3 linked regions of the Coturnix japonica genome follow. The protein of the gene in region 3 interacts with the protein of the main gene of each other region in a biochemical or structural test. Links are inferred from orthologs where the notes say so. Each region holds a gene or a part of one and is shown on either strand. Other genes may lie near its edges. The genes, in order: PDGFA, PDGFC and PDGFRA.

The links.
Region 1: the proteins of PDGFRA (region 3) and PDGFA form a complex in vitro, tested with the Homo sapiens proteins (2 studies listed by BioGRID). The link is inferred for Coturnix japonica from reciprocal best matches to the Homo sapiens genes PDGFRA and PDGFA.
Region 2: the proteins of PDGFRA (region 3) and PDGFC form a complex in vitro, tested with the Homo sapiens proteins (2 studies listed by BioGRID and IntAct, with this or other methods). The link is inferred for Coturnix japonica from reciprocal best matches to the Homo sapiens genes PDGFRA and PDGFC.

Annotation. Positions count from the first base shown.
Region 1 is NC_029529.1:2,121,046-2,125,154, reverse strand, and holds the start of PDGFA (platelet-derived growth factor subunit A), read left to right. Parts: upstream 1-1,275; coding exon 1,276-1,446; intron 1,447-2,001; coding exon 2,002-2,098; intron 2,099-4,109.
Region 2 is NC_029519.1:18,797,126-18,800,775, reverse strand, and holds part of PDGFC (platelet-derived growth factor C), read right to left. Parts: intron 2,309-3,650; coding exon 2,113-2,308; intron 1-2,112. UniProt on the Homo sapiens protein: Growth factor that plays an essential role in the regulation of embryonic development, cell proliferation, cell migration, survival and chemotaxis. Potent mitogen and chemoattractant for cells of mesenchymal origin.
Region 3 is NC_029519.1:59,014,119-59,017,768, forward strand, and holds part of PDGFRA (platelet-derived growth factor receptor alpha), read right to left. Parts: intron 1,539-3,650; coding exon 1,434-1,538; intron 715-1,433; coding exon 604-714; intron 332-603; coding exon 178-331; intron 1-177. UniProt on the Homo sapiens protein: Tyrosine-protein kinase that acts as a cell-surface receptor for PDGFA, PDGFB and PDGFC and plays an essential role in the regulation of embryonic development, cell proliferation, survival and chemotaxis.

The sequences.
Region 1 (4,109 bases), on a different chromosome or scaffold from region 3:
GGAGGCGCCTGGCAGCGCGCAGCGCTAAATGCCGCTCCGGCGGCCGCACGCTGCAGACAGGCCTGGCTGCTGCGAGCACGGAGTTGCAGTTCGTCTCCGCTCCCCTTGGGATTTAAATCTTATTGCGTAGAGACAGATTATATATATATATATATATATATATATATATATATATAATTTTTCTTTCCTTCTTCCTTTTTTTTTTTTTTTTTTTTAATCTCTCCCGTGCAAAGTGAGGAAGGAGCTGCACCAAGGCAGCCCTCGAGATCTCGCAATAATTGCTCCGATTTATCGCTGCTATTATTCATTAATTAATTCCCGTTTTTAAGCTCACCCATCTGAGCGGGCCGCTCTTAAGAGAGAGAGACGTTTCCATCCGTATCAGTCATTTGATTTTTCGCCCTTTTCGCAAGGGAAAAAAAAGAAAAGCGGAGAGAGGGTGCAGGGCGGCCCGGCGGGGCGGGGGGAGACGCCGGCAAATCCCGAGCTCCGGCGGTCCCGGCGCGGAGCGGCCGCGGGGGGAGGCGGGACCCAGCGCCGCCCGCCAGGGGGGCGAGCCGCCCCACACAGGTGATGGGCGTTTCGGCTGCGCTCCGGATCGACTCCTTGGGTTTCACTTTGGTCTGATCTAAGCAAATATGCAGAAGTACCGGCTGGTCTAGTCCTAAGAGCCAAGAGGAGCGAGCGAGAGCGGCAGAAAGGAGAGCGGCCGCGCTCCCGTTGGAGGGGAACGTACAAACAGCGGCAGCGCCGTAATTCCAGCACCGCCGCCCCGAGGCAGCCCCGAGCCACCCTGGATGCGGAGGACCCTCGAAGCCACCCCGCTGCCTTTCCCCTGAGGGATGGTACTGAATTTCTGCGCGGCAGGAGCCGGCCTGCAGCTCCTCTCCATCAGCGTTGCCTTCCCTCCGTATCTAAAGTGCACTAGACCGCGATGAGGACCTGGGCTTGCGTTTTGCTGATAGGTTTTGGCTACCTGTCCTTTACCTCCTGCGAGGTAGGTGCGAGCGCTTCGCCGCGTTCTCGGTGCCCGAGGGACGCCGCAGCCGGGGCTCGGGGCGGGGAAGGGCTGCGGCTGTGCCCACCTGGGGCCCGCGGGCATCCCCGCGCCTCGGCCCGGCTGGAGGAACCCGCCCTACCCCAACCCCGAGAGGCAGAAAGCAAGTTGCCATTTCGTGCGTGCCACCGGCGAGGGGAATGACCGTGCATTCCGCTCCGGGGCTGCTGGCTGCGCTTGAAAAAAAAATAATAATATAGATGTACATACGTACCCGCATGTTTATAGGATATATAATAGAGAGATTCACGCCCCCCGGGTACAAACGGGCTGCGGTTATTTGCAAACAGAGCGGGAGCGGAGCCGCCCGACAGCGGCCGCCCCCGCGGCGCACAGCGCAGCGCGCAGCCCCCGCGGCACCGGCAGCGCTGCGGGAACGGCACGAGACGGTGCGGGCACGGGTTGGGTGCGGGCCCCGAGCTGAGCGAGGCCCGGGGGGCGAAGCTCCGGGGGGTGGGTGGGAGTGTTGCTACTCCCCGGGCTTCGCTACAGGTGCCTCGGGGTGGGGAGTGCGCGCCGCTCGGCGCTGCGGGGCGGCTTCAACTTTCCCCGGCCCCGGGGCTGCGGTAACCATCCCCGCTCCGGGAGAGCCGGGGTCGCCGCGAACTTTCAGACCGTTCGGGCAAACTTCGGCGGGCGGCTCCCAGCGGAGGCGGGGGGGGGCTATGGGAGAAGCGGCGCTGCTCCGGCGGGCACCGAGCCCGACAGCCCGGAGCCGAACCGCTCCGAGGTGCCCGGCTGAGCCGTGGCGCAGCCCCGCGGGTCCGCTCCGGCAGCCGGCGGAGCCGGGGGCGAATGTTTCCCCCCCTCGGTCCAAAAGCCCCGCGGCGCCCCGCGCCCTATTGGAAACCCCGTGCCCATCCCCCCGGCCGCGGAGCGCCGCGCGGAGCTGCGCTCTGACCCGCGGTGTGTGTGTGTGTGTGTGTGTGTGTGTGTCTTTGAAGGAGGCCGAGATCCCGCAGGAGCTGATCGAGCGGCTGGCGCACAGCGAGATCCACAGCATCCGCGACTTGCAGCGCCTCCTGGAGATTGACTCCGTAGGTAAATTAGTCCCGTCCTCCTTCCTTCCGCGCCGGCGGCCGCCGCCGCCCCGGGGGGGTGGCACCGCTCCGCGCCCCGCTCCGCTCCGCACCGCGCGGGGAGCCGGGCTGCCGAGGGAGGCGGCGGCCACGGGGCCGCTCGGGAGTTCAAACTTCGTGGGGTTCGGGGTGGAGAGGGACCCGGTGACCCGCGGTGTTTTCAGAGCTCAACGTCTGTCAGCAGAGAAGAATTTCCGTAAGGTTTGCTGTTCTTGCATCGCTCTGTTATCTTTAAACTACTGTCCTAGAGGTATTTAAAATATTTGAAACAATATTTATGAATGAAGTAATGTCTCTTCAAGCGCTGGGCTTTATTAAAAGCAAAATAAACCGTCCGCGTTGATTTTGAGCAGGAACCTGTGCATGGAGCTCACCCTGACAAACACGCTTTTCCCAAAAGAAAATAGCACGGGGTTATTTTCTGCATCATTAGGCGTGCAAATGGGTGTAGTGAGAACGTGCAGTTCAAACAGATCGTTGCAGCAGTAAATCAGATGGAGCAGCACAGGGTTGCTGGCTGCCTTATCGTTGGTTTCACTGGATGCACTTTGTTCCTGGTGATTTCGTGCCTCAGTTGTGAGAGAACAAACCCGACACCTTTGATGTGCCCAAGGGAAACCCGCATCGCTCTGAGGAGCAAACATGGAGAGAAATGAATGAGTTCTTGCTTGCGTTGGTACGGGGCCATCTCTTTCTAAACCATAAGCTGTGTGTTTTTGTAAAGGCTGTGCCAGGTTCAGTTACCTTCATTCAGTGTTGCAGGATCTTTCTAGAGTGCAACTCATCGCATTTGGTGTAGTGCTACGTTGAGGACAGCATTGGAAGATGTCTTAGAGGCATAGCTTTCAATTTTCATGTGATTAGGGAGCAGAGTTTCCCATTATACTGAAAATGGGAGTATTTCTTTCTTGCGCAGTACTTTACCATAGAGACCAATTAGTAATTACCAGATCTGTTGGCATTGCATTAGTATTTTTGGAGAGCAATGCTTCATCATCAGTGCAATTAAAGAAGCTTTCACAGCAGAGGAGGGGGATGCAGTGCATATCTCCCCTCTGAACATTGCTCTGGACCAGACAAGTGTGCTACTGCTGAAATCAGAGGAGGGCTGTGCTGCAGGAGGGCTGGAGCTGAGCGCTGGGATGTTGGAATGCTGTATTTGAGTCAGTGTTGTGTAGCTACCAGAGTACGTCTGTGTTTTCAGGTATGCCGTGCTTCATTTTTAAATACCACTTGCAAGGAGAGCAAAAGTTCACAGGGCTCCACTGAGGCAAGCAGACAAGTGGTGGAGGGAGCTGAATCCATCAGCGCGTGTAGCAGGGGAGAGAAATGTATTTCAGGAAAGAATTATTTACCTCGTGGCAAATATTAACCAGAGGATGTGTGACCAAAAACTGAAGAGGTCAGCCACGAGTTTACAGCTTCGTTCTGCTGTTTCCATGCGATGTGTCAATTTAGAAACCATTAGAGAAACGAGGCATACATATTTCACTATTTCAGTGCAAAATGGTAATGCTTTAAGACATGAACTCAAAACAATATTAAAAAATAAAACATCCGGCCTTTCAGCCTCTGCCTGCTCTGTTTGCACGCACGCTGAGCTACGCAGACAGGGCTGGATCTTCATAGGCAGTCTCTGCTCCTTCCTACCTGCCTGTATGCTTTCTGGGCATGGTCTTTGCTGCCGTGAGTAATGCCTATGGAGGGGTTATCAGAGTGACTAATCCAACATTGGAATTACCGTGTTTTCTTCAGCTAACAGGATTGGGCCTGTTTACTGTCTGTAATATGGGCTTGGCTTAGCAGATCAGCTGTGTTTTCCCTGCTGTTGGTGAGATGGTCTTTCTGAAATAAGTGCATTTCTTTAGGGCTGTCGTTGCATTTAGGGAAGGGCTGGTTTGGTGAGGGCCTGTGCAGTGGCTGTATGTCTCTTTTATGGCATGTACTGATTGGACTCAACAATCAGAATTACA
Region 2 (3,650 bases), about 40 Mb from region 3:
CCAGTTAAGACTGGGTTCTGATGGCATGAGCATAGAATTTGCTGTAATGTAAGTAATTTGTTAGTACATTTTCTGAGTTGAACTGCAGGTAAAAATGGAATGGAAAAGAGCTGTGCAGGATAATGAGATTCAGATTCAGGAAACTATTTAAAAGGGAGGCTAAACTGGTACCTTCAGTACCAGTTAAAATCCTTCTGGACAAGAAGTGAAGTGTCAGAACTGACTCTGGAGAAATCCAAATATGGCCAAGCCAGCCAGATGTTGGCTTCTAGTAACAGATGCAGACAAATTGATCCTTGGAATAGAACATCTCTCCTATGAGGACTGGCTGAGAGAGCTGGGGCTGTTCAGCCTGGGAAAGAGAAGGCTGCGAGGTCACCTGATTGCAGCCTGTCAGTATCCAAAGGGGAGCTACAGGAAAGAAGGGAATACACTCCTTTGCAGGGTCTGTGGTGAGAAAAAAAGGGTTGAGTTTCAAGCTCAAAGTGGGGAGATTTAGGTCAGATATAAGGAAAAAAAAGTTATTTACAGTGAGGATGGGGAGGTACTGGAACAGGTTTCTAAGTGATATGGTTGATGCCCTGTCTCTGGAGACTTTCAAGGCCAGGTTGGATCAGGGCAGCCTGATGGAGCTGTGGTATCCCTGTTCCTCACAGGAGTGTTGGACTAGATGGCCTTCAGAGGTTCCTTCCAACTCTAAGTTTTCTATGATTCTATATTTTATTCTGTTCTTTGTCATATAAATTTGGTCTTGAGAAACTATCGATTACTTTTCCAACAACAATATGGATTTGTGACCTTCAAGATGGCAGAAACAGAACAGAGTCATAAATAGAATGGAGGCAACAAAAGCCCTCAGCTTTTTTACAGAAAGGAGAAAGAAGATGAAATCATTTTAGTAAGAACAAGACCTAAGAAACACGACATTACTTGTACAGAGATTATTATGATAATAATTTAACTGGCCTGTGTAGAATTGCTTTACGCAGCTAAACTCTGCAAAAGTTAAATGCTTTCATTTCCTTAACTTGTCAACTGTTTGTACTCACTTCACATAAAAAAGATACATATTCCCTTCCTTTACTTACATTGTTACTGAAGTTAAACCATATAGGAACATTTTCTTTGTCAAAAACAACAACATTTCTTTTTCAGAGGGTTGTATCTTCAAAGTTAAAAAGACTAATGTGTCCTCAAAAGTGCACATACCAGGATTTGCAAACATCCAGCTGCCTGGTATACATGCACAAATATGAGCATGATAAGATTATGAGTGGGTGAAGATTATGAGTGGCTTAATACTGCTTTTTAATTTGACTAGCGCTTTTGTATTCATCTCCTTGTTTACTTAAAATAAATGTACTCCCACTAAAATACTATTCGAGTCACAAGATTAAAAATATTTTAACTTATCTTACTTTTTGCTTTGCAAGTGGATGAATGAGTCACCCTACCTGGATTTTCTTTCACTTCACTTCACTCTGCCACATGCAAAGAAAAGAAAAAGCAAGCTAAGTTTTCATTTAAAAAGGGAGTGCACTCATCTGAGCAAACATATGCTTTATTATATTTGACATGGCCTTGACAATTACTCTCCTCAGAATTACAAAGAAGATATCTGCCCATCTGTTACGATCCATGACTCCCAAAATAAGAATAAGCTCAAAAGTAACCTCTAAGAAACCCAAACTTGAAAAAAAATAATAAATTAATAATAATAAAATAGATATGAAATATACAAACAAATGAAGATTAATTAATTAGAAAAACTGAAAGCAAGTAGCAAACATACAGAGTAGTAAAAAAAAAATAAAATCTAAAACAGAGGGAAAAAATAAAGCAAAAAAAAAACCTACTTGGAAAGGAAAAACTGGTGTGAAATACCTCCCCAGGAACACATCAAAGCAGGATATGACATTCAAATGATATTTCAAGCATGAAATGCTTTCCTAGCACTGCAAAAGAAAATCAGTAGCTAATACATTAGAGATGTGCTTTTATAAATATATTGATATGCAGGTGAAACATTTTTGCAAAACCTGAGCAATACTCTTGTTCCATCCCCCAAATCTTCTTTATGATATTTTGTAAGTTAAAGCAAAAGTAACTTACTTGCAAATGTCATCTTCTGGGTCCTCAAGCCCAAATCTTTCATCAAAGGTAAGCTGTATCCACACATTTTCATCTACTGCTACTAATCTCCACACTAGCACAGTATTGCGTGGGTATGTGTGTGGGAACTTGGGGCTGTGAATACTTCCATTAGAAGTCACAGTTATTATCTTCTCATGCTGAGGATCCTGCACTCCTGTAGTAAAGAGAGAAAACAAACACATCAATACTGTATTTCTTCCCCTCTTCCTAAAGTGTATAACATACATAGAAAAAGTCCCTTTGTTCTGTTTGCTTTTTAATTCATTTTGTCAGGAAAATCTATTCAGTAAAAGCAGATTAAGAGATAAAGTTTGGTTTGCAAAAACAACAAAATTAATCAAACCCAAGCTCCAACTGTTGGTCAGAAAACAACACATGTTCAAGTGGAGGTAAGAGAAATGTGACTGTATGGTTCCTTCAACTCCGACACATAAATGCAAGACTGGAGCCCTCACAGAAGTCCAGCAGCCAAATCATGCAGGCTGCTGATGGCTCCAGTTCATTGTTACTGGGAAGTGCAGAGAAATCACTTGAAGGTACAAGGGCAGGGCTGCTCACACCACACACCTACCACACAAAAGGGCTGGTATAAATTTGCCTCTCATTAGAAGAGACTTCTACATTTACTGGGTCCAGTGACAAGGATTATGATGGCTGCAACCATGCTGAGGGATGTACTGGCACAACATTAGCCTGACACAGGAGTGTGTCAGGGATAAGCTATTTGGAAGTATACAAGTATATGAAATAAGACATTTACTGACAATTTCCTACAGAGGGCATCCCTCAGAATTCTTCAGCTTTTTTAGACTACAAGATACATGTAAAAATAAATGTTTTATGTGGCAGTAAATGAACTCAGAAGAAATACACTGACTACATTTGACTTTAAAGCACACAGAAGCACTAAAACAGTTTCTTTGGTGATGAATTCACAAGTGTGAGGAATTGCCAAAAGGAAAGGACTCCTTTGGTGATTGGCCACCGTGACTGTCAGGGACACAACTCTCTTCACAATAACTCAAACAACCTCATTGCCAAGTGCCCAGCATTCCCAGGAATTCATATTCAGCAGCTGGAATCAGTCTGTATGGAAGACTGAGCTGCAAACAGGAGGCACGGATCTAAGTTGAATATTTTTCAACATCATGACAGAAAATGATGAGATCTCTAAATGACAAAATTTAATTCCATAAGCACATCAAAGGAAAAAAAAAATAAAAATCTTCATGCTATAGCACAAGACTTCTACTATCTTTGACCTTTTCTAAAAATCTGTATATAGTCAAGTTTGACGCTGCACTCAGTAAACCGTAGCAATCCTCAGTTACCTAATTAATAACCCTAGTAACTAAATACATGTATAGTTTTGTACTGGGGAGTAATTCACTTTATTTTCTTTTTGGCAATTAGTTTTGTCAGTTAGTTACTTCATTTTTGTTTGTTATATAAGCAGCATGGTGATGAAAATACATTTGAAACTATGTAAAAAGTCT
Region 3 (3,650 bases):
TGACATTGCTTGATTGCTGCTGAAATCTTTTTAGATATTACAACACTGATAAACAAAAGCCCATTGAGATGAATTATTGAGAGCTCCAAATCAAGGAATGAAGGGTAAGGAATAAGGATTAGTAATGCTATTCCTTATATTGTAGGTCATACATTTTCTTTTCCCCTTCTTTCCCACCTTCTTGTGCTTTCATCAGCTGGGTTCATCCCAAAAATATCCATGTCTTTCTTTGGTTTCTCTGGATGTCGGCTGAGGAAGTTGTCCCTGTTCTTGTGTAGATAGTTCACCAAATCACCATAAAAGCAGTATTCAGTGATTATGTAAATAGGTCCTGATGAAACAAGGCAAAATAATTCATCTTTCAAAAACGACAGCTCCCAAAGACAGCATAGAATCAAATATAGAACAAGAAGATTACTAGAAGTTAATAGATTTCAGTGTATTAAATTATGACTGTAACTACTACCAAATAACAAGTAGGCTTGTGAAATCTCGTATTTATTCATATTAAATGTTAAGGTCAATCACACTTGATATTTGTGTGATTATTAAACAGTGAATGGCAGCTCCACAGCAAGCTTCCATTTAATCAGCCATACCCACCTGATTTTGTACAAGCTCCAAGCAGGTTCACAATGTTCAGGTGGGGCCCAAGATGTGTCATTATCTTCAGTTCAGACATCAGAGCTTGTTTTTCGCTGGATCTAGCTGTAGCTGTTGAAAAAGCACACACACCACTGAGTGAGAGCAATCACTATTTTCACAATAATAATTGATCTCCCTTTGCTTGCCTCAGAAGAACATTTCTAAAATTATTTCTTGAAGAAGACTGTGTCCTTTTCTTGAAAATGGGACTTCTTCAGACTTGGAGAAGAGTCATAAGTCATAGAATCACAGAGACAGTAAGGTTGAAAAAGACCTCTAAGATCATCTAGTCAAACCATCCACTTAACATTAATTTTGCCCACTAAGCCATATCCCTATGTACCACACCTCCATGTTTCTTGAATACCTAATGAATGACCACCAGCTCTGCTAATGGAGACCTCTTCCATGGGGCAGAAGACATGAAAGGCAGGAGAAGGAAAACAAAATGTCTTGGTTGAGAAGCATTGTAAGCAACAAAAGGGCTTCAGATATCCACCAGGAAAGAGGACTTATTTAATTTATCTCAAGAGTTGACCCAATCTGTTTGCCCTTTTCCAGGGGTACACTGGATTGCTTGTGTGGCACAGAGGGACTTTGCAAGCTGCTTTTTACAGCACTAGGAAGTTCCTCGTTGCTCTTGAGCAAGTGGTACAAACCAGCTTCATCCACACTGCAGGTAGATTTGAAAGTAGATATTGAGAAGCTACTTATACACAAACAGTGCTCAAATAACCCAATGGGAACGTGCACAGACTAGAATGGAAAACGGAACAGTGATAACTTACGTTTTAGCATTTTCACAGCTACTTTCATCACTGGTTGAGAACGACTCAATCCATATGCTGTCCCTTCCACCACTTTTCCAAATGCACCAGAACCAAGGATTCGACCTGAACATGAGGAAGAGCATTATTAATTCCAGGGTGTAACAGCAATTAGCCTCATTTCCTGCTGCTGTTCCTCTTCAGAATATGAGTACACTCACTCAGAACACTGGTGTTAAAAATAATAATAGTAATAATAATAGAAATAATGTGATGTTGTTGAACAGAAAATGCAAATATATTTTAAAGAAATTAAGTACAGTTCCCAAATGAAAGCAAGCAATCATTAGAAGCACATCTATATGTGCGAGTTTGTAGGACAGGAGCTCTGAGAAACAGTGCAGTTCATATAAATATGTCCCTAATTCTGCCCTCCCACACTCACCCTTCCTAAGCATTGAAATTCCTATGTCTAAACTTGCCTCAGCCGGTATTTGACTAGAGTATAGTTGTGCCCTTCATTTCAGATATGAACTGGGCTCTCCAGCTGTGGTTTTGGGCTGTTATATTGATGCTGATACAGCTAGCAACAAGACAGGCTGAAGAGAATCAGCAGAACATTTAGAAACAGACAAGCAGGACCATCAGTAATATGAAGGAAGCTGAAATACATATTGATCATATATGAGGGAAACTCCTCTGAAGTTTAATGTACAAGTGTGTTTCATCTGTTTGAATAAATTTTATTGCAAATTTCCAAGTGCTATGATGAAACAGCTTATGTTTATACACATTTACTCTTCCCACAAATCAATTTAGACAAACAGTTTTGGTTATTATATCCTGTTTTCTATTACAGATGCAGTGTGCAGAACAATTGTGTATAGATTTAGCAGAATTCTAGAGAAGTATGAAGTGCACAAACATTATCCAAAATGCTGTAATTCATTGATTCCATATTGGACAGCAAGTTCATTAAGGCAACATTTATTCAGTAAACGAATCCCTATATGAGCTCCAGATGCCAGGACATTTTCATATTCCCAATGAGCTCTTTCATTTCATGTGTTTGTTTTTTCTAACTTCCAACATGAGGAGACTATATAGGGCTTTTTACTATGGAGATAAATGACATTCTGTCCATGATGTTCACTTGCAGTTTGAACTTTCTGCCTTTTGCACATCTGAAGGTGTTATCTGGCATGCAATGCCACATGTTTCTGTTATCCTAAGGCTACAGCCCATACTTTTGTTGTATACACTCCTTAGGAAAAAAGTTTCCAGCAAAAAAATAAATATCTACATCATTAGCAAGAAATGGTGCGTGCTGAGTTACAACTAACAAACCTCTCCAAGATCATGACAGTGTAGTTTGTCATGCACACGAAAACCATGCCGTTTCTTCTCAAGATTCCTGCGCTCCAAAGGTTATTCTTTCCAGTCATTCAGGATGTGAGAAATCTTCCCACTAAATTTCAGACTAATTCAAACAACCTGAAATTTGGCCCCTGAAATTTTTCAGCCCGAAAATCTGGGAGCCACATGGCAGGATGCAGCCCTTCAGAAAGTGATCGCGTTTGCTGATGCTCCTTGATCTTCTTGTCTTCACGAGCCAATTCCTCCCCAAACCATGAGACACACATCTCCCTCCCGTCCCTCGGCCCAGCCTGAGTGCATTCAGAGGCAGGGGGAGCACTTCCGGAGTGACAGGGAGCTATTGCTGCTATTCCCCTTTTCACCCCTCTCCACACACATTCCATCTGTTCTGCACTTGAAAATTCAGAGCCAGGTGACTGCTTACAAGTTGGAGGCATCTGTAATGCAATAGCTCCATCACTTTCTGGATGTCAAGGCCTTCAGCAGAGACCAAAATTAAATTGTGTATTTATTACTCTTAGTATAAAGGCACGACTGGGATCTGCCTGCTGGAGGACTGCTTCTCTGTGACATGAGGACCATGCAGACAGCATCATTTCCAAGCTCCTGAAGCTTCTGGAGGGACTGTACTTGGTGTGAGAGCTAATTTTAGTCCAAGCTCTGCCCAGGTCCGCAATATCTGCTGAGACCAGTGCAGAGGTGCCATGTTTCTCATCTAGAGGACATGCCTACAAATATGAAGTCCCAAACAGTTTTCTTGACCAGACTGCTCTTTGGCCAAAATTAAACTTGGATTCACCCCATACCAAACCACAACTTCCTTAACAAATACCAAAAGCCAAACAAGATTTATATTCTATA